Linked DNA regions of Tamandua tetradactyla. The protein of the gene in region 1 interacts with the protein of each later gene in a pairwise test. Links are inferred from orthologs where the notes say so. Each region holds a gene or a part of one and is shown in the gene's direction. Other genes may lie near its edges. The genes, in order: BEND7, L3MBTL2, NKAPD1 and LYAR.

What was found.
Region 2: the proteins of BEND7 (region 1) and L3MBTL2 interact in binary tests that used the Homo sapiens proteins (3 or more experiments, as listed by UniProt). The two-hybrid records come from large-scale screens. The link is inferred for Tamandua tetradactyla from reciprocal best matches to the Homo sapiens genes BEND7 and L3MBTL2.
Region 3: the proteins of BEND7 (region 1) and NKAPD1 interact in binary tests that used the Homo sapiens proteins (3 or more experiments, as listed by UniProt). The two-hybrid records come from large-scale screens. The link is inferred for Tamandua tetradactyla from reciprocal best matches to the Homo sapiens genes BEND7 and NKAPD1.
Region 4: the proteins of BEND7 (region 1) and LYAR interact in binary tests that used the Homo sapiens proteins (3 or more experiments, as listed by UniProt). The two-hybrid records come from large-scale screens. The link is inferred for Tamandua tetradactyla from reciprocal best matches to the Homo sapiens genes BEND7 and LYAR.

What each region holds. Positions count from the first base shown.
Region 1 is NC_135333.1:49,223,677-49,231,442, forward strand, and holds the start of BEND7 (BEN domain-containing protein 7), read left to right. Parts: upstream 1-4,663; 5' UTR 4,664-4,730; coding exon 4,731-4,791; intron 4,792-6,929; coding exon 6,930-7,013; intron 7,014-7,766.
Region 2 is NC_135333.1:34,374,948-34,382,778, forward strand, and holds the start of L3MBTL2 (lethal(3)malignant brain tumor-like protein 2), read left to right. Parts: upstream 1-4,735; 5' UTR 4,736-5,793; coding exon 5,794-5,829; intron 5,830-7,831. UniProt on the Homo sapiens protein: Putative Polycomb group (PcG) protein. PcG proteins maintain the transcriptionally repressive state of genes, probably via a modification of chromatin, rendering it heritably changed in its expressibility.
Region 3 is NC_135334.1:29,178,834-29,185,914, reverse strand, and holds the start of NKAPD1 (uncharacterized protein NKAPD1), read left to right. Parts: upstream 1-3,920; 5' UTR 3,921-4,185; intron 4,186-4,191; exon of another isoform or gene 4,192-4,743; intron 4,744-5,372; 5' UTR 5,373-5,380; coding exon 5,381-5,449; intron 5,450-7,081. Other genes in the region: PIH1D2 (PIH1 domain-containing protein 2), read right to left, coding at 1-201, 546-791, 1,185-1,308, 2,661-2,837.
Region 4 is NC_135345.1:8,748,968-8,756,587, forward strand, and holds the start of LYAR (cell growth-regulating nucleolar protein), read left to right. Parts: upstream 1-4,562; 5' UTR 4,563-4,739; intron 4,740-4,745; exon of another isoform or gene 4,746-6,671; intron 6,672-7,620. UniProt on the Homo sapiens protein: Plays a role in the maintenance of the appropriate processing of 47S/45S pre-rRNA to 32S/30S pre-rRNAs and their subsequent processing to produce 18S and 28S rRNAs. Also acts at the level of transcription regulation.

The sequences.
Region 1 (7,766 bases):
GAGTTTTTCTAAACCTGAGCTGTCCCAGGTGGATGTCACTAGTCAGATGTGGCTCCTGAGCACTTGAAATGTAGCTAGTCTGAACTGATTTGTCCTCCAAGTGTAAGATATATACCGCTTTCAAAACCTTGTACAAAAAAACTCAAGAATAGAAAGTATTGCTAATATTTTTATATTAACTACATATCAAAACTATAATAACTTCTGTGTACTAGGTTAAATAAAATTCATTAAAATGAATTATTTTTCCTTTTTCTATTATCACTAGTAGAAAACTTTAAATTACATATATGACTTACCGTGCATTTCTTTTGAACAGCAGAGTGGTAAATAAAGATGGAAATTTTCATAATACCATTTCTTTCAGTACAGAGCTTCCAGAAAGAGAGTTTTAAGATTTAGGGTCCAGACTACTTAGTTTTCTAGCCAAATTACTTGTCTTTGTCAAAAATTAAAACCTGCGTTTAATCTTTAATCTATTTGTAATTGATTAAGTTTTAGAATGGTCATATAATAAGATGCTCTGCCTTCATGAACTCATGGAATATCTGAACAGTTTTCACTGAGCTTGAGTAATGTATAGACCTGTGATTCTAAAACTTTTGAGGGCTTTGGATTATTGAGGCAAAAAAATGACCTAAGTGGATCTCCGACAGGACCTTCCGAGATAGCCCATAACACAAAAGCTGTATTAAAAAAAAACCTTACCTACCACTTCATGCAATCTCATATTTATTAAATATCATAATTCATCTTTACTTCATACAATTTGTGTATATATACATTGATGTTATATAAAGTGATGTTTGTGTGATTTGCACAAAGTAGAGAGTAAATAAATCGCTGTTGATTTTCTCTCTGTAAATAGGACAATCCCTGAACGACTGGGCTCTGCAGACCATCTTTGGAGAACCAGATAAAAGGGTCCAGGGAAAATGACTATTGTTTCAAAATATCATTTTTTACAAATATTTTATTACCTTTATCCAAACTAGTCTGTTCATTACATGGAATTCATCTTCCCACTTGAACTGAATATGTTAAGTTGTTAATATCTTCTCCAGGGATTTGTTTCCTGGTATGACACCTTCAATGATTTCATCATGGATTTAGGCTAATAAACTCTCATTTTATGTTCAAAAGCATGAAAGTCCTCACTGTTCCTCAATCAGTATAGTACTTGGCCCTGTGGCTTTGAGGATAACTTTTTTTTTTACAGTTTGTATTGTGAAATATAACATCTATACAAAGGAAAGAAAGAAAAAGCAATAATTTTCAAAGTACACTATTACAAGTAGTCACTTGTTAAATTAGATTTCATAGGTTACCATTCCACTATTTCAAGTCTTTCCCTTTAACTGCTCCAAAATAATGGAGGCCAAAAGAAACATCAAAACAATGATTTAGCAGTCATACTCATTTACCAAATCCTATTCCCTCTGTTATAACTCCTCTCTCTCCCCCACCTCCCTCCTAATCTACAGGGATCCTTGGACAATGCCCGTTCCGACTTTCCCACGTTGAGAAGGGGTGTCCACACTAAAGGATAGGGGAATGTAACTGGTTGATAATCTTAGAAAGGCTGGTCCCTCTGGGCCTCAGGACTGATCTGGCCCAGGAACCCCCGGGAAATTATAGGTAACAGGAAAGGAAACTTAGTTCATGAAACTTTTATTGAGCCCCAGTCCGAGCCTTAGGTGCTCTCAAGATTAAGATTCAAGACACAATAAACAGGTGGGCCATGGTGGTTCAGCAGGTAAGAATGCTTGCCTGCCAAGCCCGAGGACCCGGGTTCGATTCCTGGTGCCTGCCCATGTAAAGAAAAAAAGAAAAAAAAAAAAAAAGACACAATAAACCTCTCTGCCTTTGGTCTTACATAGCAGGTAAAGGTCTAGAGTATATACACTATCATCTATTACCCTGTATTCTGATTCACCTTAGTCCTGGCTATAAGCCTTTGTCTTTATCTCTAATGGAAGGTTGATCTCTTTTTTGCTTACTTTAACTGTTATTGTATGTAGCTGTGCTAACATTCAGGGCTGCAGAACTCCATTTCTGAGTCTTACGTTTCACAGAGTTACTCAAAGTTCCAGGGAAATATCAGTTTCATATGGCTCAATGTCTCAGAATCTAGAAATACACTCACAATTTCAGACTAGGTGTGGTTCCTATAAGGTCTTACAATCTAGGCTCCAAATTTCTTATAAGTATTTTCTGAAAGAGACCATAGCATATTTGTTCTTTTGTTTCTGGCTTATTTTGCACAACACATTGTCCCCAAGGTTTATTCAGTTCATTGCATGCCTTACGACATCATTCCTTTTTTGTAGCCGCATCATATTCCATCACATGTATGTATCAGTTTGCCATTCTGCTTCTCAGTCATCGTACCCTTTGGCTTCCTCCATCTATTAGGCATCATGGATAATGTCCAAAATAAGCAAACCACATCTTACGGTATCCTGACTTGGTTATACAATCAACAGCACTCTCAATTTTAGAGTTTTCTTTGGTCCATAGAGATAACTGACAAACACAGCCTCAACCAAATATCAAATCAAAACTACCCGTTATCGCTTATCCTTTCCTCCCTCTAATTAGTTGCCCCTGGTAGTGCTGTGGTACAGCTGATGTCTTCCTGTTAACTATTGGCCATAGCATGCAATTTTAGTTTTCCCCCATATCCCTCTATTATTGACTCTGTACAATATCAAACCTTTGAAATAGTTCATCTGAGAACTTATTTATAATTGTAGAGTTCATCAGTGGGATGCACGGCACTATACATCCCTTTCACTCATATTCACCTTCAATATGGCAATGTTACTTATAATTCCACTAATTAGTTACCATCACTTCCATGCATTCTTTGAGGATAACATTTTTAAAGGCATGGCAGAAAGGAAAGAAAGGATCCCAGCCAGGGGAACAGAACAGTATGCATTTTCCCTTAAAGAAACATTCAAAACACAGTCAGATTTTCATTACTTGGTTTTAAAGCAAGAGAAAACAAATGGGAGAGAACCAAAAAGGATAGTTGATTTCATCACTTTAATCCTTTCTCCACCTTTTAGGGCTCCCAGGGGTCTAAACTCAAAAAAACCTACACAAAATTTCCTTGGTCTTCTATACATGTTCTGGGGAAAGGGCCCACAGCTTTGAATATCAACTCCACAGACAGTGATCAAAAAGGCTAAGAACCTCATTTAAGGGTTTGCTTTGGCAACTGACAGCCTATTCCCTCTCTTCCAGGCCAGGTACACCAGCCTCCGCACCAACTAATACCTCATGATTTGGGCCCCAGCCTCCTTCCACTGGTTTATTGGTTGGTTACCTTGATCCTCGGTTTTGTTTCTTGGTGCTTGTATGTTTGTGCTAGCCTCCAACTTTTCCTTTCCTTGGCAGTTGTCTCTTATTAACCCAGTGGTTAATAAGAGAGGTCCTTGAGCAGTGGTCTCATTTTGGTGGGATTCATCATGGAACTTACCACATTTATCAACATACCCTGTCCCTTTAGGGCCACGGGAATTTGCCACAAATTCAAATTTGTTGTTAGGTGGCCTACCTCTTTACTTCCTTTATATTTTCATCCAGAAGTGGTCTTTGGTGGGGGGGGAGAGTTACTTGTGAGCATGTTCGGATAGCATTGCCGGGGGTGTGAAATTCTCTCTCATTCCCTCTCTAAAGATGTTGTGAGAAAGAAATGGAGCCTGCAGGGGCTCTTAGCTCCCAAGAGAAGTTCATATAAAATTAATGAAAGGTTTCTATTTACGCCAATCGCCTGGAGGTCCTCAAACCTAGTGGCAGATCTCCTGCACCTGCCCTGACCCTTCCTCACCTCCTCCTCCCTCTACGGCCGGCAGGGCAAGTTCCCTCCCCGCATCCAGCCCCGTGGCTTCCACACCCCTTCTTGTACCGGATACAGAATCGGAGCCCACTCCCGCCTATCCGCTTCTCCTCAATACGTTCCAAACGCTCTTTTAGTTTTCTTGCACAGCGCACATTGGGAAGTTTTTCCTAAAACTTGCCCAGCAACGTGTGCGGGGCCCGCTCCATTCCAGAAGGGTTCTCGGCCCTGGGGGCGTCGTGACCACCAGGCCGGCCCGGGGGCGGTGGACTGCAGAGCTGACCCAGGCCCGGGGCCCGCGTTCAGGGGCGGTCCGCACAGGCCGCCGTCCCCGGGGAGCGCCGCGGCCTCCGCCTCCGCCTCGGCGGCCAGGCCGGCGGGTGCGGGCCCGGGCCCGGCGGTCGAGAGGGCGGCCGCCAGCAGGTGGCCCCGGGGACCGCGGCACCGCCTCCCGCCGCGCCCCTCCTCCCGGGGCCCGCACCCGCCGCCGCCCTCCTCCCCTCGGCCCGCCGCTCGGCCGCCCGCCGCGTCCCCTCAGCGCCGCCTCCCCGGCCGCCGCGTCCCCGGGGCCGCCTCCCCTCCCTCCCCCGGCCGCCGCCGCCGCCGCCGCCGCGTCAGTCCGGAGGCTGCGCCCAGCGAGCGCCCTGAGCCGCCGGCGCCCTCCGCCCGCCCCAGCGCGGCCGCCGCGGAAAGTTCCGCTTCGGATCCGCTTTGAAAAAGGAGAAATTGGACGGGGCCGGGCGTGCTCGGGAGCCGGGGGCGGCGAGGAGGAGGACGGCGCCTCTCCCCAGGCAGCTGCCTCCCGCCGCGACGAGGGCCGACGCCGCTCGGGCCGGCCGCGCGCCTTTCCTCTCCCCGCGGACCCGCGCCGCCCGCCGGCACCATGGAGTTCTCCGAGAGGAGGAGAAGCAGGAAATCGCAGAGCTTCAAACTGGGGAGCCGAGGTGAGGGGGCCGCGCCGGGGTCGGGACCCGGCTGGGGTGAAGCGTTTCGGGAGGGTCCGGACCGGGGTCCGGGATCTGGGGACCCGGGGCGACGCGGACAACCCTGGGCCCCGGGCTCCCTCGGAGGCCTCACCCCGCGGACCCCCAAACTCCCTCCCGGGCTGCGGCTGGGGGCGGGGGCCGCGGGCAAAGTTGGCGGGTGGGGTGCAGGTATGCGAACCGTAAACAGGCCCGAGGGCAGCGCCGGGGGCAGACAAAGCCTGGGCCGGGGACCCCGCGGTGCCCTCGGGGTGCGGTCGTCCTCCCGGAGGCGACGGGAAAGGTACTGGAGGCAGCGGAAGCAGCACAGCCCGACTACGAATTGTGGCCATCCTACATCTTTCCCAGCTCTGTGACTTGGATTGGAAAGGTGTTCTCGAACAGATCACTTACCGGTCAGACAAGTATCGTAAAAAAAATAATAATAAAATAAATAAATAAGATCCATCTAGTCCCTGGCGACTTAACAGGTGTACACCGCAGCCTTTGGGCTTGAGCTCTTTTATTAGAGGAGGGCGAAGTGGAATAGAGCCTTGTCTCTGTCTGTTCACCTACTTGTTAGAGTGTTTATTTTCTTGATGGGACTTTTTAAAAAAATGATGAGGACGAAGCGTAAGAACAGGCTTAAAAATATATCCGTGGAAATGCCTCGTCTCTTCTTCGGCGAGACGCAGTTGACTTTTTTCATTGTAGTGTCCACAGGTTCCAGTATGTTCAGAACCATCCTATTTCAGTGTCTTCTTTGCATCAGCTTGAGGTCAAAACAAAGCCTCAGACGTGTCTACTTTCCCTCTGGTGTCTTATCTAGCAATGGCATCCGAGTACAGAGCAAACCAAACCTGTGTTAGCAACCTCGGAAGGGGGGAAAATTAGAGGACTGTTGCAAGTCATAGAGTTTCTCAAACTAAGCTAACAGTAGTAGAGATTCCACGAAGCCTGCTTTCACTTTGTTTAGAAATGGTTTGATGATAGACATTTCAAAGATCTACTCATGTTTGTTTTCCCTCAATTTTGTTCCGATACTGCATAATGAAAAGGCCTAACATGGTTTTACCTATTGAAAATATTTGGCTCTTTCCTCTTTCTGTGTAATTTTTTTCCCCCAGCAGTGTGGAATACTCAGTGACTTGAACTTTAAAAGTCTCTCCATACACCACTAGCCTCTTGGAGTGATCTGATTCATTCAGGCATGTGGGCTGCTTTATTTGTGACCTCAGATATTGCCTTATCTTAAAGGTGACAGTAGTTCTGTAGAAATTGGCCTGGGAGGATTAAGGCCAAAAAAAAAAAAGGAAATAGCTGTTAAGGCGGCACCTATATTCTCATAGCTAAATGACCCTATTTTTTAGAAATAGAAGACTGCCAAAGCTCAGGAGCCTCTGCAGAGAGGCTTGTAAAATATGTATTTTGAAGTTTGACAGAGCTAGTTTTTCTTTTCTTTCTTTTTTTAACTTATGGGCCTGATTCTTTGCTCTGCAGGTACATTTTTAGAAAATAAACATATTAAAGTGCAGAAGCTGAATGGGAAAGATTCACTTGTGTGAAAGATGAAAATCTTGCTTTCTTATCCAAATTATGCTAGATTTGAAATAACAAATCCGTACTTGTCACGTGTACTTGCCTTTAAGCTGCTTAAAGACTGCGATTTTTCAGATAAACTGAGAAAACAGTGTCAGGCAACCCTGAAGCAATACTGTTGCTACACCTAAAAGATGGGTTGTGGAGATAAGTTTGGAAACCTCCTGGGCCAATGAATGGGCAAGATTTTTCTTTTCTTTATAAACATATTTCTCAAACGAAAGAAAAGAAGTCTAGTAATTAACATTTGTGGGCAAATTTTACTGTGTAAACAGTGATCAAGCAAAGCTGTTTTCTAAAAGTAATGTTTCAACTTTGTGTACTTTCATCAGAATAGGCAAAGTTTTTTAGAGATTGTTATTGACTTTTGTCAACTTCCGTGGTTAACTAGTTCTTGAAAATTATATAAATTAAAACAGAGATTATGATAGTCTAGATATGATGAGAGTCTAGCCTTTAGTGCTTATTTAATATCTTGCAAGTCATTAGAATTCTAATTTTTGGTTGTTTTCTCATCCCAGATTATCACCATGAGGTGTATAAGATCTCAGAATTCAGCAGCGATGTTAATGGGGAGGCCAAAGAGACACAACCCATTTTTTTAGGTAGGTTTTCATGTCAGTTAATTTCACAGCAAAGCAGTGTGGCCATTTGCAATTAGAGGGGGAAAAAAAGATTGTGCTGGAACGGGAAATGTCTGCTATTGCTGAATGTATGACATTCTTTTCAAGACCTTTTATTTTACAGATTGCCAATATATCCCTTATTAACATTGCTAAAAGTTGTAATTTCAGACATAAATGTTTATTAGTGTCTACACACAGTGCTAATTATCACTCACTCTCAGAGCCAGATGCTGAGTGTGCAGTTTCATGGCTCTGCGCTCACCCCATTTACATTGCATATTCGCTGGCATGCTTCACTGGCAATAGTTTGTGTAATTGGGGTATTACATCTTTGACATCTGGATAACAGAAATTCAATTTCCAGGAAGCTGCTATTTGTTTGGTTTTGCTTCTGCCTTGGGTGGGTTAGAGGATTAATGTTCTGTCTTATTATAATGTCCCTTCACCTCTGTGGCCTGCTTGCTAATCCTGCCATGACAAAATTAAATTAAATCTACAGTCAGAGAGCATAGGGAAAATAAAAGTGTGATTGCCGGCTTAACCACCTCTTGATGGTCCTAGGTATCACCAAGTAGCTCTACCTCATTCTTCTGGCTTTGTGTTCATTTCACATCAACTTTTTGGACTGAGAAAACAGACATGCTTTTTCCTACCTTCCTCATTCCCAGTTCACCTCAGGGAAAAAGCAGAGCAAAATCAGCATCTGAGTCCTTTGAACAAGTGTAGCTGCAT
Region 2 (7,831 bases), about 15 Mb from region 1:
TGCTGATGGGTATCATCTAATAGAGGGATAAATTCTGATGCAGGGTTGGTGGGGTGGCGCTGTGCAATAGCTCTAGCCATGTCCCTGGATAAGCAGGATGGGACAGGGTCTAACACAGTGGTGCTCAGAGTGGGGTTTGCAGGCTGGTGTGCATCTGTGGACTCCTAAAGGGCTAAGAGGAGACAAGCAAAAAAAATTGAAAATAAACAGCAACTTTTATAGTGAAAAAAAAAAAACTTTATAAATTCTGCATAGGCCCAAAAAAATACTCAGGCAATCTGAATTCAGCCCAAGAACCTCTGGTTTGCAACCATTCTTTACGCAGTATTTCGTAGGAAATTGAGGCTGGGGCAAACCACAGAAATTAGTATCACCAACAAGTAATATTCCTTCATCTTTGTGTCTGAGTGCGCAGCTAATTTAAGCATGTCTGCCCTTGTATTTCTCCTAATCAACAACAAGGGTGACAATCTTTGGCAATGTATTCAAATCATCACTTATCCATCGGGGTAAACTGAAGAAGGTTAAATTAATTTCTACTCATTCTTCACAACTCAGCTCAGGTGGTGGCTTCTCCAGGCATCTCCTGAACCTTTGCCCTAACACCCAGGTGCACTGCAGTGCCAGCACACATTTCTTTCTGTTACAACCCATCTAACTCTTACAGGACATCTATCAGGTAGGTTTCACTACCATCCCCAACCTACATAAGAATAAGTACCCTGTCAGAGATGATGGTTAGGAGAGAGGAAGGTGAGGACATATAATCAATCACCTTCTTGACACTACTTATCTCCTGCGCTAGATAGGGAGTTCCTTGAGGATTAGTGTCTTGCATTTTTCATTTTTTGTATCCACAGTAATCCTCAGCACTCTGGAACAAATGGAAGGTAAGGAGGGAGGAAGGAAGGGGCACTCCCCATAAAAAAGTACTATGGAAAGGGGATACTGACAGCACATGTAGTTATTCAACAAACATTCTAGGCATGAGACCTGCTGAGGTCTAGAGGAAAAAATCAGGATTAGAGGGCTCAGTTTGGTGAGGGTACCAGATATGTACATTAAAAATAACAGCATTGTCACTTGGCTTTATTTGGAAAAGTCAGGGAAAGCTTACTGGTAGAGCAGATGCTCCAGCTGAATCTTGAAGAAAGAGAGTAAGTGTCCCCTAGCAGACAACAGGAAGGAGAGCCTAGGCAGAGGGACAGCATGTGCAAAGGCACTGAGATGACAGAGCCTTTATCAGAGCACCTGCAGCCAGCTCCCAATCACTCCAATTCAAGCTACACACTGGGCACATCAGGAGAGGCTAGAGGGGTAGACAGCCTCTGAGCATCTAAAGGGTAAGCGATGGGGAGCCAAGAAGGGTTTTGTTTGTTAAACAGTTTTATTGAAGTGAATTTATATAGCATAAAATGTATCTGATTTATGTGCACAATTTGTGATTTTTAGTAAATTTAGAGTTGTATAAGCAACACCACATCCAGATTTAGATTTCCATCATCTGAAAAAGTTCCCTCATGCCTATCTGCATTCAATGTTTGCACCTCCAGCTCCAGGCAACCACTCATCTGCTTTTTGTCTCTATAAATTTGCCTTTTCCACTAAATGGTTTTAAACACCACCACCCCCACCACCCCCAAAAAAATCATCGTTAAAAAAAATATCACTTTGAGTTGCGGAGATTGGTTGGAGGGGGTTAAGAGGGAAGGCTACCTCTGTCACCATTTCCTGATTCAGGATATAAAAGCATCTGAGGGGGCGGGCCACATTGGCTCAGCAGGCAGAGTTCTCACCTGCCATGCCAGAGACCCGAGTTCAATTGTCAGTGCCTGCCCATGAAAAAAAAAAAAGTGAAAAAAGCATCTGAGGACTTTTATAACAAATCTACAAACCAGTTTCCCACTAACCCTGCTGGACTTCCCCCAGATTTTTTAAAAGTTACACCTAATTGATCCAAGTTTCAGATGAGTGATTAGTCTAGTGAATCAGAGTTGTGGGCGTCTGTCATGGGAAACCAGTGGTGTTTTCAGATTTAATTGTAATCATCAGAAGAAAATGCCCTTGAAACTCAATCTGCTGCCTAAGGTCCACATTTTTGTTTTGTACTGCTGTTTTTGAGATGTCAGGATTTTATTAAAGGAATTGCTGTTTTTCTCACAGCACAACATTATATTCAGGGACGGAGGCTCTACTTGCTCCATATGAGGAATGTGCTAGTTAAAAAAAAAAAAATGCCTGTTAGCTGATTTCGAGGTGATCAGCTCAAATGAGCAAAAGGCATTGGGAGGGGGGGTTTGTTGTGAGGATTAAATAAAATATTCAAACGTGCCTGGTACAAGGTGAAGTTCATTAAATATTTGTTGACCCTGAACCCGGATCACACTGTGAAAAGCTAAGTTTTTGTCTGCCCCTTCAGAACTGGTTTACTTCATGCTTAGAGACTTGTTTCCTACCTTCTAAAAAGTGTAAGAACGGCTCAGGGCTTTTAAGATAGTTGTGAGGATAAATGAGGTTACAGAATAAGTGAAAACACTTAGCCGGGCACCTGGCACATATCACAGACCTCTGGGAAAGGTTAACCAAAAAAATAGCACCTTTGTCAGCGCTGATGGCAACTGTCACCTGTGGAGAACCTCTCTGCACACATTAACAAATACACTCCTCAAAAGTGGGCATTTGATAAGTACCTGCCGTTTGATAGGTAAATGATATCACCAAATTAACTGCCATTATTCTATAAGTAAACAATTTTGGTTCTCTTAACTGCTACTTCAAAATCCCTACTTACATTTCTCATGTTCCTTCCAATAATTTGCTAGGAGGTACACCTGTCAACAGGAAGGACAGAAAATGATCAATTATCACCAAATGCCCTCAAAATAATTGGCTAGAGAATTATTCAACCTGGTTGAACTTTTCAGAATTCAGTCAAACCCACCCAATTACTTTCCAGTTTTCACTTTGCCTCAAGTGCTCTTCATACTTGGGGCAGCCCAAACCAGCCCAATAAAATAAATTAAAACTGCTGTTCACCACCACCTTGGTCGCTGGGATATGGTAGTTGGTGGTTGGGAAGGGGCAAGAAACTCCAACAACAGTAATGTCTTAAATTTAGTAGGTTCGTGCTCAGATAATGAAAGCACAACATGTTAAGAGTTTGGGAGAGAGAACTGTATTCTCATCCATGGTAACTTGGTATGGGGAAACCCATTTGACTTAATCAATAGGAAATCTCTGTCATTACTCCCTTATCTAAACTTCTCTAAGACAATTTCTTCATCTGTAAAATGGGGCTAATAAAAACGCTTACTGGGCGAGTTGTGAGAATTACATATGACGTGATTGAAAGTGCTTTAAAAATTGCAAAGCACTACTTACATATTAGTTATCAGTTTTCCTAGGTCCAGCCATTTTTACAGAGCCAAGCATGGCTCTAAAGATCTTCCCGAGGTTTTACAGCTAATTAGGGCACAGCTCACTCAGTGGTCTCCACCCATCAAAACCCTACCCAATTTTCAAAGCGTGGTCCAAGCATTCCTTTTCCTTAGCCTAGGGCAGTGGGTCAGGAGTGAAAGGTCCCAAGTTCGTACCCCAGCTCTGCCTCTTAATTACACACTCCCAGGGCAGATGCTTGTCCCGGGTGCCTCGCCTAGCCACCTGGGGAAGGAAGGGGAGGTGCCCGCACCTGGCCAGCTGAGGTGCTTAATAATGGCAGTTACCTCCTGTCAGCCCCCGTTGTCACTCCCTCTTCTCTTTTCTCACCGCACTGTGGTTGCAATCAAGACCAGCAGTTTTCGAGGGCTCGCTCTGTGTCAGGCACAGTGCGAATTGCTCTGGCCAAGCACAGCCCCCTTACCTCAGTATAACTAAGACAAAGGAGGGGCTCGCCGCCCCTCCCCCCTCTCTGGGGGGCAACCCCACGGCGGGAGTCCTAACCCTGACAGCCCCCACTCCAGTGGTTCTCCAGAATCTCGGGGCGGCCCCTACGCCCCCCAGCGCCTCCCGTATACTGCCATCACTGACCGCCCCAAACTGGACCCCGGCTGTCCAGCAGTCCCGGCGAGCCCGCGCCTCATTCCTCCCCGGTCCGGCCGGGAGCGCATGGGCAGCCGGCTGCAGCCTCCCAGGCTGAGGGCGCCGAGCAGCCTCGCGCCGAAGGCGGGCACGGGGGCGGGGCGGGGCCGCCGGCGGTTGGCGCTCGGAATCCGAGCGCGCCCGCCGGGCCACGTGACCGCCGGCACCGCCCCCTTGCCCAGGCCGGGAGTTGGGCGGGTGTGGGGGAGGGGCGAGAGGCATCCCAGACGCGCGGGGCGGCGGAGAGCCGGTTGGCAGCCCCGTTGTGCAGATGAGGCGACCTGACTCCTGTGTCGAGTCACCGGTGCACGGGAGGCGGGCCGGGCGCCAAGGCGGTTAGTGCCCAGCCTAGCCCGCGGTCGGGGCTTGGAAGCGTTGGTCTTTCTCTCTGAGGATGGTTTGGGAACGGAAGCTCCGTGAAGGCTGGAACCGTGGGGTCCTCCTGTTCACTTTTGTAGCCACAGCGTCCAGCAGCAGTGGCCGTGCAGTAAATATTTCAATGAAGAACTCTTACCCTGGCCCTTTCTAAATATCTGGCCTCAACTTGGGTCACACCACTCCCCAAAGACTGTAATAATTGTTGGAAGACCACACAGAAGCGGATAATGTGGAAGCGAGCACCCATCTGCAAATCATAGGTGCAATCTTTTTTTTTTAAAGACTTGTGTAGAGAATTAATGGGCTCGGATAATAGGCGAGAGCAGCTAGGAGGCTTCCGTGCTATCCAGAGGAGAGAAGATGTGGACTGGATTTAAGTTGTGGCAGTGGAGATAGAAAAAAGTGGAAATATTTGGGGTAGATTTTGGAGAATTAAATGGATTTGCTGATGACTTTGAACAGTGAGGGCCTGCAAAGGAGAGAGACAGGAGGAAAGCCAAGAGGGACTCAAGAAAAGCCAGTGTTTCGGAAAGGATAAAGTAGGTAGTTGTGTGAAATGCAAAAGAGGGAAGTGGTCATTGAATTTCAGGTCAGAGAGGCAGTAAGTGAACTTGACAAAAGCAATTTTGGTGGAGTGTAGGGACAGATGGAAAGCCAAGAGAAGAAATAGAAATTGCATGTGTAGACAAACCTTCAAAAGGTTGGGCAGTGGTGGAGTGGAGAAATGGCATATGGCAGGGGACAAAGGCAGTGAATCCAAGAGATGTATTTGTGTAGTATGGGTGACTAGAGCACATTTGTGTCGTTTTGGGAAATGATCCAGTAGAGAGCAAGAGATTTATGATCCTAGAGAGAGAGAGGGACAATGACTCACATGAGGTCCATGTATAGAAAGATGGCTCAGACTAGCCAAAATGCTACCTATGCTACAGAAAGAGACCCAGGCCCAGGAGCTCTGCCACAGAAGGAACAGCCACACTGTTCCGGGGTGGCCAGTGTTGCTTAGCAACCTGTGTTTAATAGGCTGTTTCAACTGAATTCCTAATTAACGGCCATTTCCATTCATGCTAGCTGTTACTGTCACCAGGGCTCCCTCTCTGCCCTTTTTCCCTCCCCCGTAGTCTGGTGTTTCCGACTCCTGCTGAAATGCTGTGAAACTGGAAAGTTCAGGTTTCTATTTTCTTATACTGTTGGTGATATGTACATTGAGATGTGAAAAATAATAAATCACAGAGAAGATGGATTTAGGGACTCTAATTTCATCTTAAGAGAGGATGCCAGAAGTTGCAGGATTTAGATCACCAGTTCTGTGCTTTCCACCTAACTCCAACTGCCTTCATGTCCTCTTCTTCACTGTCTCACAAGCATCTCAAAGTAAGTGGAACTCTTAGTTCATTCCATTCAACTACCCAAAGTCATCCATCCCTGTCCAGTTTTCACCGTTACAGAATATGGTGCTGCCATCCACCCGGTTGTCCAGGCCTCAATCCTCACATATTCTGCCCCACCCCCACTTCCAAACCCACTACATACATTTAATTATTACCTCCTATATATTTTTTTTTTTTTTTGCTAAAGGGCTTTTTAAATGTTTTCTCTCTGTTTTAACAATATCATGAAAAAAATACAGTTAAGAATCTGGAACTGACCACTGTCTGGATGGGTTTCAAGGGCAGCTGGGTGGGGTTGCCAAGCCCCTTCCAATTCCTCCCCACCTTGGGAGTGAGCTGCTGGAAATTGGAGCACCAAGAGGGCACCTGAACCGGGAACTAAGTGTCTCTTAGAGTCGGGATCTGGCAAAAACTGGGAGGTTAGAGCAGCTACCTCACCAGCCAGCGGGAATCCTCCTTGTTTTACTAAGTTCTGTCTGCCACCACCCACCACCCACCCCATCAGCTACATGGAGACAGGAGGAAGGGGCTCAGCCTGTCAGAAACTGTCAGGCAACCCTGGTGCTCCCACCCAAGCTTCTACTCGATTCCCTCAGGTAAGGCTACAGGATGCTGAGTTAAATTTGAACTTCAGATTAGACAATAATTTTCTAGTATAAGCATGTCCTATGCAAATATCTGGCACATACTTATACTAAAAAATTATTACCTGACATTCCAAACAATTCAGCACCCTGTTTTGTTTTCTTTTTGCCTTGTTGTGTTGTGAAATCTGGCAACTCTACCCTTGTCCCAGATTTGGGGAGGGGTCCAGCCAGCAAAGAGGCCTGGGAGCATTCAGCATGGCGGGCTGGGGTGGGCAGGGAGGGGGAGTAGGAGGATGGGTAGGAAACAATCCAGTCAAAAAGGAGCTCCCCCTGTTCCCGGGAATGATATATTATTATTATTTTAATCATTTCCAGAACATTCTCTACACTGGCTGTCTTCAGTTAACTGGTATGGGGTGGGGGAGGGGAGGGGCAACATGCACAGACATCCACACCACATAGCTCTAAATAAAGTCTGGAAGCACTAAACCAAGTGGAGCCGGATTCCCTGCCACAAGGCCTGCCCTGCTAACATCCGCTGTGAATTTTCCAGAGGGGCAGACTTAGTACAAGGTTTTCTAAAGAAACTTGATCTTCCTGCTGGTGGCAGACGTATTAACAGCGCTCCTGATATTGCTCTCTAAGGGTTTAAAAATAATAAGGAACAAAACACACCCACGGGGCTGAGCCAGTGCCCAGCCCCGTCGCCAGCATCACTCTGGAAGGGCTCATTCTTCCAAATTCAAGAAGTGGGGTGGAGGCGTCTCCTACTGCATGCCCTGTTCTCAGCCCCTGGGAGGGGCTGCGTTTACTGTGTACAGTCGTGGAGAGCCACCTGGTCCCACTTCCCTCCAAGTGGCTCCAGACTTCGGGGCAGGAGCCCCAGGGTCCAGGAAGGAGGGGCTGGGACACCAGCCCACCTCCCTCTTTCACGACATGTATTTTATTTTGTGGCTGCCGCCAGGCACTGCAGAGATGCCAGGAAGATGAGGATTGCTGAGAGCCTTTAGTCCTGCGTGGAGGCCACCTCAGGGCTGATCGGCTCTTGCTGCACCTGGCAGGGGTGCAGGTTGACAACCGGCACCCTTTGGAGGGCAGCGGGGTACCTCCAAAATATTTTTTAACATTCTTCTGCTTTTCTGCATGCCCTCTCTGTCTCTGCCCTAGACCAAGCTACCACCATCCTTCACCTGGAATGCACGAGAGCTTCTAACAGGTCCGGCTACTTCTTTTGATCCTCCTCCAATCCATTCTCCACACTAAAACATACATCAAATCAATGAACTCCCCTGCTTACAACCTTCAAATGTTTCACATCACAGTCTCAGGCTAGCTGGAGCTGTTCTCAGTCTTACTCCCTAAATCCCGTATCTCTATCTGATTCATCCTCCCAACCCT
Region 3 (7,081 bases), on another chromosome or scaffold:
TTTTCAGAGGCTTTTCATTCTGATCCTTCACAATTTTTAATTCATAGGTTGGAATCTTCATCTCTTTCTGGATCTCAGTGCTGGAAATCTCCTGTATCAGACACCCTGTTTTGTCTGAAACTTGGTCCTTTGTCAGTAAAAGTTGAGGAAAGTGATCTGGATTGCTCATAGTACTATTACCTATCTGTTCAAGACCTATTTCTTTGTGGGGAAAAAAAAAAAGAGAAAATCACAAAATTAGTCAATAGCATAAGCAATATCAGACTGTGGTATATGTAAGGTTAGCCAAGATAGCAGATAAAGATGAAGCTAAATTAGTTTTGGATCTTAAGCCAAAAAAAATCTTAAACCAAGAAGTTTGTTTAAAAGTTTGCAGGAAGATCCAAAATATTTTAGGATATTCTGATATTTCAAATATCTAAATCTTTATATTTTTCTATCTTGAGTTTCTTATCCTTTAAAATCAAGACTCTTCTTACTTGCAAAGGTACACAGGATGCAAAAATATCTTAAACAGTTTACTTTTGCATTTACATTCAACTTACCCTTCCTCATTTTCTGTCTTAAATCTGGAAAGTCAGTTTGTATTCCCATCAGATTTTGTTTCATCCTTTGAATGCTTCCTTTTATTCTAAACTTAGTAATATGGTAGATGTGGGAGAGAGTGATTTGGAGTCGTTCCTCAATGCATTTCATAGCCATTTGTATCAGCTGGTCCCTTTTCTTCTGGTCCTTTTCTGCTGCCTGGAGAACATCAGGATTGTAGGCAACATCGATGACTGTGAAAACATCTGTGTGTTTAATTTGGAGGGTGTGAAATGAAGACAACTTGACCTGTTTTCATTAATGATATTATCAGGTAATATATTAAATCATAATCTTGATAAAACTAGAAAGTAAATTCCATTCCTGTATTTTTTCAAAGGCAATCACAATGGTTCTATATACATTATATTCCAATTAGGGCATCTCTTGGCATTTTTACATGGGTTAAAAACTTGTCATATTGCTAGAAAAACTTAACAAAAAGGCATTCAATTTGCATAAAGGTATACTAATATGTCATAAACTACATTATCACCAAATAAAATATTTTAACTTGAAGTGTCTTTTATCAAAATCTGGCCCATTGTTTTGCCAAAAAGATTTTTCAAATGTGCTTCCTCTCCCATAATTCTGCCTACCTGATGTCTCAGACATATCTTCTGGCCTGCCGATACTTAAAGGTACTGGATGAGTGTTTGATTGGGGAGCTGGAATTCTTTTCCACTGGCATAGGTTGATAAAAAGTATTTTTTCTCTTGGTTTCTAGAAAGCAAATAATTTTGCATATTTCAAAATGTAGTTTGTTATTTTAAAATAATATCCTAAAGGCAGCTCATCACAGAATTGTAAGAGGTAGAATTTTAGTCTCCAGGTTAGTCATTTCACATGTTAATTGCTTTGTTTGTTTATAAATAACAAACACACAAATGTTCTTGACGTGGTTACAATCAGTGGCTCACAATATCATCACATAGTTATGTATTCATCACCATGATCATCTTTTTTTTTTTTAAACATGGGCAGACACCGGGAATTGAACCTGGGTCCTCTGGCATGGCAATGATCATCTTTTTGAACATCTGCATCTCTCCAACAAGAGAAAAAAGAAAAAAGTCATGCATGCCATACCCCTTACCCCTCCCTCTCATTGACTGCTAGTATTTCAATCTACTCAATTTATTTTAACTTTTGTTCCCCTATTATTTATTTCTTATCCATATTTTTTGCTCATCTGTCCATACTGTAGATAAAATGAGTATCAGACACAAGATGTTAAAACTGTTTTTTTTTAATTAAAAAAAATTTTTTTAAACATAACATACAAACACAAACATTCCCATTTTTGGTATATAATCAATAACTCACAATATCACATAGTTGTATATTCATCACCATGATTTCTTAGAACATTTGCATCAATTCAGAAAAAGAAATAAAAAACTCATACATACCTCTTACTCCTCCCTCTCATTGAGTGCTAGTACTTCCATCTACCCAATATATTTTAGCCTTTGTTTCCCCTATTTTTTTCTATACTCCTTACCATTCCCTTTCATTGATCACTAGTATTTCAATCTACTCAATTTAACATTTGTTCCCCCTATTATTTATTTTTAATCCACATGGTTAAAGTTTTTTGATAAATTACACTCTTGCTTTCTTGATTTCCCAAAAGCTGCTGTCTTTTCACTAAGAATCCAGTAACTGAACCCAGAAAGGAACTCGGGTGGAGATGTGGTGAGGGAGGAGGGAATTGATCTAATCTAATAATTGTAGATTATTTCACTTGACCCTATCACATCACTTCTTAACTGCACCAACTAAACAGTTATCTTTATTTGAAAAAGCTCCAATTCCATGATTCTCCTTTAAATTATTACATTACTTTCTCTTTTCATTCTAGACCTCATTTGACATCTCCAAAATATAACAAGTATGAATACCACTCTTACTTCTCAACACAATCTTCCACACTACTTTTCATTTTCTAGAATGGCAGTTTCTCTTCAATTTTCTTGTGTTTATGTGGCAATAGCTAAGGGTATGCTATCCTCTGGTTATTCCAGAATCATTTTGTTCAGCACTTTCCCAGCCATGACACCAACTCTACACACCAGGATCTTCGTCTGTAGACACAGCTGTGGTTCTGGGGCAGCACAGAACTGTTTCCCCTCTTTCAGCTGCCATTTAATGAACTTGTCATAGCGCTCAGGGTCACTTTCAGCCAGATCATCTAGAAGGTTCCAGAATTGAGTAATTTGGGTAAACAGACCCTTTGAGGATGCGTCCATGATTAATGATGGTGAACAGGTCTCTTAAACCTGTGGAAAGACACGAGTTAAGGGGGAAAAAATCTGCGTGGGTAAGTCATTTCTACTTTGGGGGGAGGGAGGACAGGTATCAGCTACCTTAACATCTGTGTCTCAAAGATTGTGGCTTAGCGCTGCTATCTTTTCCTTATTTCCTATTCAGCACCCCTTCCTAATTCTCAAGTCATCAAAGATAAGGCCTTACCCCTATTTGGAATCTCACAAGCCTAGAGATGGGAGAGGAGACACTTTCAGTTTGGGTTTCTGGCTCTCTTCCTGTTCCAACACCTGTGTATCCTTAATTGCCGGCTCCCCAGTCCTGGAGTTGGCAGAGGTGCGTGTGGGGTGAGGTCCATTGGAAACTTCGGTATAGCTTAGTAGATAAAAGCATGGAATCTGGAGCCAGAAGGTTAAGCTTCTAATCTTAGCTCTATCACTAGATGGATGACCTTGAGCAGTTACACACACACACACATTATATATATATATATTATATATATAATATATATTATATATATAATATATATATTATATATATAATATATATTATATATATAATATATATATATAATATATATATAATATATATTATATATATATTAATATATATATATATTATTATATAAAATATATATATATATTTTGTTAATAATATATATTAGGTGATTCTCAAAATGAAGACGATAATAAAATGCCTATCTCAAGGAGTTACTTGCAGGATTGAGTAAACTAATATATATATATAGATTTACACTTGGTAAACGCTAAATGAAAGTAAAAATACCCTTTCTAGATCTTGGAATATCACGTCCCCCACTCCTACCCTATTTCCTTCCCTCCGCGTCCACTGGAGAGGAGTCCCATACCACCGACTGAGGCTTCGAATACTGTATGAGATAAGGCTAAATAGGAAACTTAACTTTGGGCAATCATTCCAGAGGCCGGTGAATCCACTTCCCTCGGATCCTTGACACACAGCGCGGCGCCTGTTACCAGGGTAACCAGGCTGGGCGCAACGCTTAATTGGGTCCGGGAAGCACCAGTCAGAAAGTTCTCCTTACTTCCAGTTCCGGAATCTCACTCTTCCGGTCGTGGGTTCACTTTTCTGCCGGGTCTGACCCACTTCTCTTCCAGAAAAGCGCCAGCCTCCCACTTGCATCCATCGACCTCTGGAGTATCCTGTAAATTCTATCTGTGACACACTCTGTGCCAACCATTGGTGGGAAGAATTTCTCAGGAGCACGACTTCCGGCCTGAAAGGGAAGCCTCCTCCTTTTTCTCCCAGATCGCTTCCTCCCCCCACCCCCGCCACGCGAGGCTGCGGCGCACGGTATGGGTGTGTTTGTGTGTATTTGTGTGGGGAGGGCGTTTGGAGGGGAGGTTACCGGGAGCTCCGAGGCCGTTGGCCGCTGGGTGGCGGGGATACCGGTGATAAAGATGGGGGTATTTTCTCTGTCTTCCTCTTGGAGACCTCAACCTCCCCGTCAGGCCCTCTAGATACTTCCCGGGGCCCAGCCGAAAAGTCATACTTATCCAGAACGTCCCCGTCCTTATCTGGGGAGCAAAACTCAGTCCCCGGGTCCATCCCAGCGGAGCCTGAGCGGGGAAAGCCGACCGGGCCGTCCAGATTCCGCTCCAGCGCAAGCTCCGGCCTCGCTTCGGGAGAACTGCCTGTCGGTCTGGGCTGGGGGAAAGGCAGCCATGCCTGGGCCACGGGTGAGGGCATAATAACCGGTGGGAAGGCTGCGTTTTCACGAAGGACTCGGGTGAAGCTGCAGAGCTGCCTTTGAGCCCTGACTCCTTGGCTTCCTGGGTCGGAGGAGATCTTGTAATGGAGTGGTTCTTCGTCTCACACTAACAAGATGCCTGATTTCCTCAGGATCGAGGGGTGAGTGAGCTATGGGGTGGTTGCACAAAGCCCCTGCTAGCTAACACGTTAATATCTTTGTCCTCTAGAAGTTGGAAGCTTTTGCACAAAATAGGAAATAAAATTTCTCTGAAGGAAGAAATTTAGGGTATCTCTGCATCTGATGTTTCCAAGAGTCAGTTTTTATATTTGTTGACACTTGTAGTCACTGACACTTTTAAATTTAGATATTTGCTTCATTGCAAATTAATTTTGGGAATCAAGAATTTTCTAATTTGGATCTTTATATATACGTTGCTTGCCTGAGACTCTCTGGCCGACAAGTTAGGGCTTTCAGGAAAGTTGATCTGTAAAATAGGGATGAAGATAACTTGCCTCATATAAAACACATAGTTATTGTGAGGATGAATGAAATGGTGCTCATGTCATCTTGAGCAATTTCAAAGAACTTTAAGGAACACTATCTCCTTTCATCCTCACACTAGTGTTGTCAGGCATTTTTCCCTTTTATTTGTGAAGGAAAACTCTTCCTCAGGGCATCTGACTCATAGTTCAGTGATTTTACCTTACCTCATGCTTCTTTATTTAATTGTAATAAAAAATAAGGTAATAGAAATCGTTATTAAATGTTATTTATTGATTCATTTCAGATTGAAGAATGTCCCGGGTTCCTTTGGGGAAGGTCCTCCTGAGGAATGTCATCCGGCACACAGATGCTCACAATAAGGTGGGAGGGACAACCCAGCCATTCCTTAACACTTACTGAAGGCATACAATGTGCCAAGCAGTATTTTGGCACAATTGGGGAGTACAAAGATGAATTAGATAATTACAGTACATTTTGATATATACTATAATAGAGTCATATGCAAAGTGCTTTAGGGTACTGAGGAAGGAGTGATGAATAATGAAATCTGCTTTTAGGAATTAGAAAGGATTTCACAGAAGGGGTAGTTTTTGAGTTGTTGAAAAGTGAACTAGGTCTTGGTAAATGGGTACAAGTTTTACCAGGTAAAGGATCCTCCTGGACAGAGGGAACTATTATGTGCCCGAATGAAATTGAATGTGTCTAACCTGTAGAAAATTACAGAGATGAGGTCTGAGTGGTCAGTTAGATTTTGAAGAATCAGATTTTGAAGAAACTTCTGTGTGATGCTTGGGAAATTTTAGGTGTTTTCCTCTAGGCAATAAAGAAGCATCAGATGTTTTAAGCAGGGCATGACATAATCATATTTGTATTTTTGAAAGGTGATTTGTCAGCTGGGTAGGGATAGATCAGATGGGTAGAAACAGTAGTGAGACAAATTAGGAGTCAGTTGCAGTTCCAGGTGAGAGATGATGAGGGCTCAAAAGAAAGCTGTGACAGTGGGTTGAAGAAGAGGAATTTAGGAAATAAAATCCAAAGAACCTGGTGACTGATTGGATAATAGTAAAAAGAATGGCCAGCTTGTGTATCTAGGTGGATAATGATGCTATTTTTTGTTTGTTTGTTTGCTGTATGGTGAGGGTCACATTTCATTTTTTTTCCACACAAATATCCCATTATTACAGCACCATTTATTGAATTTTTCTGAGGGGGGGTGAGGAGTGCACTGCCCGGGAAATGAACCTGGGTTTCCCACATGGCAGGCAAAAATTCTACCTCTAAACTACCCTTGTAACCCCACTATTTTTTTAATGCAATTTTTTGAGATATATTATATATTCACATGCCATATAATCGTCCAAAGTGTACAATCAGTGGCTCACCGTTTCGTCGTACAGCTGTACCTTCATTACAGTGGATTTTTGGACATTTTCATTACTCCAAAAAAAGTAAAAATAAGAATAAAAATAAAAGTAAAAAAGAACGCCCAAGGCATCCCATCTCCCCAATCCCTTATTATTTATTTATGTTTTGTCTCTATTTTCTTACTCATTGATGATGCTATTGATTAAGATAGGGAACAGAAGAAAAGGGACAGGTATGAAGTGGGTAGTTAGTTTGACTTTGAACATGTTGATTGTGAGGTGCTTATAGAAGATCCAAAAATAGTTGGAAATTCAGATTTGGCAGAAAGGAGAAAACTTGGAGCTGAACATAAAGGATAGGAAATTATTGATGTAGGTAAATGTTAGAAGTCATGAGAGTAGATAAGGTCACCTACGGAAAGCTTGTATACTGAAAAGAGAACCAAGGATCCTTGTTTGATTTCAGTGAATTGTATTACTCTTGGTTTGATCATAAATGTTATTACTATTATATTACCTGATAATTTGAGTAGTGTGAGGATATAACTGTTACCCAAGCAGCATCTCCAATTGTGCTAATCTGTCGCTACTTATAGGGTAAGCTTACATTTCAAAGGGGATCTAGCAC
Region 4 (7,620 bases), on another chromosome or scaffold:
GGCTTGCTGGGTATGTGAGTGCCACCAGAGCCAAATGAGTAGTAGGGGATGACATTCCAGAGGGGTCAGAGGAGCCTGGCAGGCATTTTAAGAATTCTGATTGTGACTCCCATATGGGACAGAAAGCCATTATGTGGGCAGAGAAAGTCTCATCATTCAACATGTTTAATGACTTCCTACTGTGTGGCAAGTTCTAGGGCTCCAAGAATAATAAAATATGCAAAGGCCCCACCCTCATGAAGCTTTTTAAGTTCTAATGAGGAGAACAAAAAAATATATATACACACACAGTTAAACAAAACCGTTTCAGCTAGACACTGGAATACACAGGTGAGTAAGGCATGGTCTCTGAAACCCAGGAGCTTAGGCTAGTAGGGATGATTTATGGCAGAAGAATGGCAGGGAGGAATGAAGTCAGGCTCATTTAACCTCTCTGTGGAGGTTAAAATGGCAGTTTGCTACCCTAAAAACCTAAAAAGCCATCATCCGCTTTCTCTGCTTTCACTCTGAGTGCCTAAGCATTACCGAAAAAGCATCACTGAAAAAATCCATGAAGCCAAATTCCAAGCGTTTTAACATGGCTCATACTTCTCTCCCAGTCTTTTCTTTATTACTTCCATTTTGAAACCAGCCAAAATGAACTACCTTTGGCTTTCCAAAAGGCTATGTTCTTGGCCAGTGGGCTGAAACCCTAGCTACACCACTCATTAGCCATATGACTTTGGGCAAAAGACTTCCTCATCCTATCTCACAGGTTAATGGAGGTAATTGTGCTAACCCATGTCATCCTCTAGAACAGCATCTGGCATACAAGTATTCAGTAAAGGTTAGCTGAAAGAATCACCTGGGAAATTTGTTAAAAAGTAGTTTCTTGCATGCCATTACAGTTTTGTTCAGCCACTGTACACTGGAGCCTGGATATCTGCATTATAAGCAGCCAGGTCATTCTGAAGCAGGTGGACTGCTGACCTCTGCCTTGCTCTCTTCCAAAAGCCTTCACTTCTGATGCTTTCTATGCTGGAAATAATTTATTCAGATCTGACCCTTCCACCTTCCAAATAATGCTCACTCCACATCAATACTCAGCTGAGCAGCTGTCTAGTTTCTCGATGTTCTTGATATGCTCCCTCTTCTCCACTCTCCATTCCCAGGTCTGACTGGGGACCCTCCCCTGTACTCTAACAACACCCCAAACTACTTCAGTAAGAGAACTTATTATAGTGTTCAGTTACTTACATTTCCAAAACCTGTGAACTCTTTGAGGGTACCATCTCATCTGTCTTTGCTGGCACAGAACAGGTAATAAATGTTCACAGAAGGAATTTAGACAATGCCTAAATTTGAAATTTTACCTTTGACCACCACTTCCAAATCTCTGACTCTCTACTAAACACCTTCAACTGTATGATCCCCTCAGGTTAGAATCTCCAAAACTCACCCCACCATCTCATTCCTTAATTCTATACCTGGAGAAGATAATGTTGCCCAAACAAGAATATATACAGGGGAACACATTATTAGGTGGTGGGGTAATGGGCTAAGCATAGAATCCTCAAAGGAACTGAACAACCAAATGATTAAGTAACCAGTTCCCTTCCCCTATCACATTGGTTGCCTGAAAAGAAAAGGCTTTTTGGTTAACTGTTATTATTAGTAGTTGTCATTTACTGACTACTTTTAATAGGCCAGGCACTCTGCTAAACAATATTATATCTGTTTACAAAAAATTCTGCAAGAACCTGATAATCACCATTTTATAGATGAGGAAATTGAGAAACGGGGAGTTTGATAACTTGCTCATGATCATATAAGAACTTGCTCATGATAATATAACTGGTAAGTGACAGAGCCAGGATATGAATTCTGGCTCTTTAATTCTCGAGTCCATGTTATGCTCCCTCCCACAGGAAAAAAGTTTTTAAATGACCTTTGTCCATAGACTTAAATGATAAAATACAGTAAATATTCTGGATCTGTATTAGACATTTTCTTGTTCTATAGAAGTGATAAAGAAAAAAAATTCCTTGGATGGCTCTCAGAGTTATGATGACACAAGTTCTGTGTTCCAAAATTTACTTTTACTATAAATTATAACCATTCTATACTAATTTGTATAGTTCTCTAATTGTTTCATAATGGCAATCCTGTACCACCCCAGAAAGATGAGAAAAACTCTGGAAAAGAGAATTTTGTATCTGTATGTATCCTGTAAATAAAAACCATAAACAATAATGCACCCTGTACCAAGTAACAGTAATAATAATGACAAATATTTATAAAATAATGACAAAAATTTTATTTAAAAATTTATAAAATAATGACAAGTATTTATAAAATATTTATAAAATGACATTTTATAAATATTATGATTATATTAAATACACTTTATAAATATTATGATTATTATATTAAATTCTTATAATAATTATAAGACCGGTACTATTATTATTCTAATTTTACAGATGAGGACAGTGAGACACTTGACAGATTAAAGACGGCCACAAATTTTTTGACACTCTTCCCACAAGGAGGTGTGGTTGAATTTCCCCTTGAATCTGAGCAAGCTCTGACTTTCTTACCAACAGAACACAGAAAAAGTAAGACTGTGCTCATTTCTGGTTCCAAGCTTAAAGCTAACAGCTTCTACTCCCCATCTCTTGGAACGCTCCTTCTGGGAGTTAAGCCTAGTTAAGCCCAATCTTCCAGTCGTACCTTTAAAGGCACCAGGGATGTGAGTGAAGCCATCCTAAGTCCTCTAGACCAGCCCTGTCTCCAGCTGAATACCATGAGTGACACCAGTCCACACCTCACAAAGCTCAAGAATTGCCCAGCTGAGCCCTGCCGGAATTCCTGACCCACAAAATTGTGAGATAAAATTGTTCTAAATTGCACACAACCTGACCAGGTACTGAAAGGCTAGGGAACTTTCCCAGGGTCATACAGCTAATAAGGGGCCGAGTTGAGGTGGAGCCCAGGCAATCTGACACCAAGGCCCACACTCCCAACCACTACGCGGAATTACATGATTTGCTTCTTTGGTTTACTGTCTACTGAAACATTTAACCTGATCAGATAATATGAGAGACAAGTACAGCAGTGCCTGTGAGATGTGAAATGCAGTAAGTAGAACCACTGAAATAAAAATTAACGTGGGGGAGGGAGGGTAGAAGTCAGTTTCCTCCAGGGAAAACTTTCTGGAAGAGAGCTTTATGTGGAAATCTGAAAGTTAAAAAGTTTGCCAAAGAGGGAAGAGAGGAATATTATAAGCAAGAGGCAAAGGTAGCAGGAAGGTCAGGAATATCTGTTTTCAAGTGGTGACACTTGAGTTTTGAGTTTTCAGGGGGATCCAATGAAAAAAATGTAGGAGCAAGAACAAGGTAAACATCGCCTATGGCAGTCCGGCACCCGGGTTCAACTTCAAAAACAACGAGGAAGAACAAGGTAAACATGTGCCTTGAACACAAAAGCACACCTCAAGCACCTGCTTTTCAACCTCTGCCATTCTCCCACTTCTGCTGGGAATTATTTCCCTCCTTGTAAATCCCAGTGAGTCCTTCTATTCCAGGCCCAACACCTCTCACTTCTACAGTGAAATCTTGCTGATCCCGGTATGCCCTCACCCTAAAGTGAATGTTTTTCAGGATGCTGTCTCACACCTCCACTCAACTACCCTATTCAACATTCATTCATACAATAGTCACTTAGTAGCCACCCACGATATGCCAGATCCTGCCCTGAGCTCTGAGAACGTCAACTATCCTTTACTGAGCACTTACTAAGAGTCAAGCATGTGCTGAGAACTTCCTGTGCATGGGTTTATGAACACCCCTAAGGTACCGGTATTCCCCCTTCTACAGATCTGAAACAGAGCACAGAGAGCCTGCACAGTAATGAGAGACTGCGCAACACTATGAACTCTGTTGTTGTAAGCACTACTCCCAACTACAGTAAGAGAAGGAAACAGGGATCCAGAAATGGGTAGCCGGAGGGCGGGAGCGGGTCAGATGGGCTTCCTGCAGGCGACGGCTGAGCGGTCTGGAGGAATGAGCAGGAGGAGGCCGGGTAAAGACCTAGTGTGGGGTTTCAGGCCAAGGGGGCTGCACGAGGGAGAAGGCCCGGTTCCCCGGACTAGGTTCTGTCTTTTGCGTCTCCTTCAACTTTCCCTCCGTCTGGCACAGGGCAGTCACTCGTGAACTCACGCAGGAGGCGGACAGCTCTCCACTCACCCTCGCAGTGCCCCGGGAGAAGGGGGTGGGGGCAGGGCAGAGCCCCGCCGGGATTCAGGGGCCACCCTCGGATGCCCGGCCTCCCCTCCTTGACGGTTCCCTCTCCCACCCGACCGCGCGCCCTCTAGGAGGCCGGCCTCCAGGCCCTATGACCACCTTACCCCGGAGGCCGCTCCCTGACCCGCCGCAGCCTCTCCACCTGCCGACACCACCACCTTAACGCCGGCTTGGCCGGCAGCAGAACCACCCGACAACGCCCCCTTGACCTGCCGGAACCGCCCTCCGACTTCCGGTAGCGTCACTTCCGCAGGGATTTTGGCCGTGGTGCGCAGGCGCGCGGGCCGGCTCCAGCGCGATTTCTGCGCGGGGAAGCCCTGGAGGGCGGTGACGGCTGCGCGCGGCGGGCGGCAGCGATTGCACGTGTTCTCCGTGGCCGGTTGAAATCGTTGGCGGGTGGCTGCTGAGAGGTGAGGGGCGGTGACACACAGGCCCGACGGAGGAAGTAGAGGAGCAGTGAGTGAAGAAGGGTCGGGCGGTGTGGCTGATGGCTGCATTCCCTCTTTTGGCTTCCACCCTGGGAAGGAGAAGGAAATTCATTCACATCTTATTCGGACTGGGGAAAAGTGGAAGGAGACCTGGACCTAGGGCGACCTATTCAGTCCCCGTTTTAAAACTGAAAGTCCTGCGTCCCGGGAACCCCCTCAGTCCTGGGCATCCCAGGGCAGCTGGATCCCGCTTAAGGCGGGCTTCGGGCTTGCTGCATGTTGGGGGCGGTGCTCTTCGGAGTCTCGGGGAGCTCGGTCCCCAAGGAGGAGGCCTCAGGCATTGTGGTTAGAGCACGAGCTTAGGACCGGATTCATTTTGTGTGTGTGTGACCAAATTACTTTACCTTCCTCATGTGCCAAAAGGGAACGGTACAGAACCTAACGCACTGGACCGTGGTGAGGGTTAAATGGGCACAGACACGTTAACCACCTGTGAGGGTGACAGGCATATAAGAGTCAGGCATTTTTCTGCGGCGCCTACCCCTGAGGAATGAGATGGGGTGTGCCGTTGCAAGCCTGTCTTCCCCACCTGTATAGCACAGTGCCGGGCACATGACAGACTTCCCCAGACGGTTATGAATAACATGACAGTAACATGTAATAACATAATATGAGATGACGGGATGCCAGTAATGCAGGTGATATAATGAGGAGGATGCTGGAACTTGGAGGTGGAGACACATGGCTTAATTACTTTGTTTCTCAGTTTGCCCGTCTGTTATGTGGAGATAAATGTCCTTTGCATGGTTCAAGGGGGAAGTCCTGTGTGAGTGCACGTTGTGACCGACCTCACCTGCACACGCTAGGGTTTAGGCAGGGTGGTAACAGTGTGTACTTGTCTGACCTTCCCATGAGTCACATGCTCTAGGTGTCGTGGAATTTTACCCTTGGAAGAGGCTTGGGGCTGGCGTAATTGATTTGAGCCCTTTTCTCACTGATGGGAGAACTCAAGATCAGAGTTGATGGTGACTGGGAACTGCTTGGCTGACAGGACCAAGTGTCCTGTTTAGGGGTGCTGATCTAGTTTGGGTCTGTGTGTGTGTGACTGTTTTAAAAATAATGTTTTTTAAAAATTATTTTCATTAAAAAATTAAGCAATACAAAAATGAGGAAGGAGAAAAATTAAAAAAAAAAAAATCAATGTGAATCCCAATCACCAGAACCAAACCAATGTCATATTCACAGGGAACAGTCTGGTAGGTGCCTGTGGAGTCAGGAGCCAGAGGAGACAGGAATAAGACTGCCTCTGGAGTGAATTTTTAAAGTTGGATAGGTTGATTGAGGGTCCTATTTAAAGGAGCATGGGTTTGGGAGGTGACTGGGTACAATAGTGTTGATGTGCAAATTGATAAATAAATCACAGAGAAACATTTCTATTGTTGGATAAGGATGAAGCTTTCACATCTGATATTTTACTTAACTCTCCACATAGTGCTCTAAAATAGATATTAGACCCATTTTACAGATAAAAGAATCAGATTTGGGGAAGTTAAGGTTGCTGAAGGTCATTGGGGTTTTAATTGGCAGATGCAGGCTCCAGCTCAGATTCCCTGGCCCCAAATGTGGCCTCCATCTTGGTGAGAGGGGATAAAAGTGCCTACAGTCCTTCCTGAGTTCCCAGCCTCTTGCTAGCTGCTGCCCCTCAACTAGTTCAGCATCGCTATCCAATACCCTACATCCTTAGCTGTGACACGGATGGTCGGCCTCCTTTCCCAGGGTGGTTGTCTTTAGAATTAAGATTTAGGGTCCTCAAAATTTTTAGTGGAGGGTCATCTTCTAGAGCCCTTGATTTTTTTTGGATGAGCAACTGAAGGTTCCCAAGCCGAGTGACAGCCAAGCACATGGCCAAGGATATGACAAGTCATTATGGACAGGCAGTTGCAACATAGTGAGCCGTTTTGTAAGTGATGGACTATAGTTAATAGTACAGTTATAGAAAGGCATTTTCATGAATTGTAACATGTATCACACGAATGCTAGGTGTTAACAATAGGGCGCTATATGGAAACTATTTTATGCAGTAGTTCTGTGAACTTATAACTTCTCTAATAAAAAAGAAAAAAAAAATGAAGAAGCAGGGGCTTGGGGTTGTATCCTGGCATTACAGGCCACCTCTGCTACTTTCTCTGACTTCAGGTAACGAAACTTTCTGAGCCTTGGTTTTCTCTCACTGGTGGTAGTTGTGTGATCATACCTGTCTTGGATGTGGTGGGTGTAATTGTGGTTGTAAATGTGAAACACTCTGAGCACATCTCTTTTCAGCCCCACCTCATTTCCTTCTCAGTTGTGGGAGCTCAGGAAATCAAATAGTCTAATGAATAGTCATCCAGAAGGGTGTACAGAGGACCTGGTCTAATCTGAGTGGGGGCATTTGGGTGTATCTGGATGCCTGGTACCCAAGCATAGCACCTGATGCACACTGAGCACATAGTAAATGATTGCTGAATTAAGTTATAGGGATGAAAACCACATGGGCTGCCAGCTGGTTCAAGAATGTTCTCTGCCTGTCATTCTCTCTTAATATGTGCACATTTCTGAAAGGGAGGGTACACAGAATTTCTGTGGCTTTATTAGGATTGGCACGTATGACAACGAGTTGGGGAGCTGGAAGGGAAAGGGATGGGACTCTCATTTGAGTCCAGCCCCATTGGAAAAACTGTCTTTCTACAATTAGCACTAAAAGTTGAGATATGTAATGACCGAGACTGGGAATACAATACAGCGTGTCTCAAAAGTCATAAGACAGTTTTGACTTCAAAGGTATAAATGCTACAGGTTTCCCCGAAGCAGCATTTATAAGTTTAATTATTTAAGTATCTTCACATTTATTTAGTCTTGTGGATTTGAAT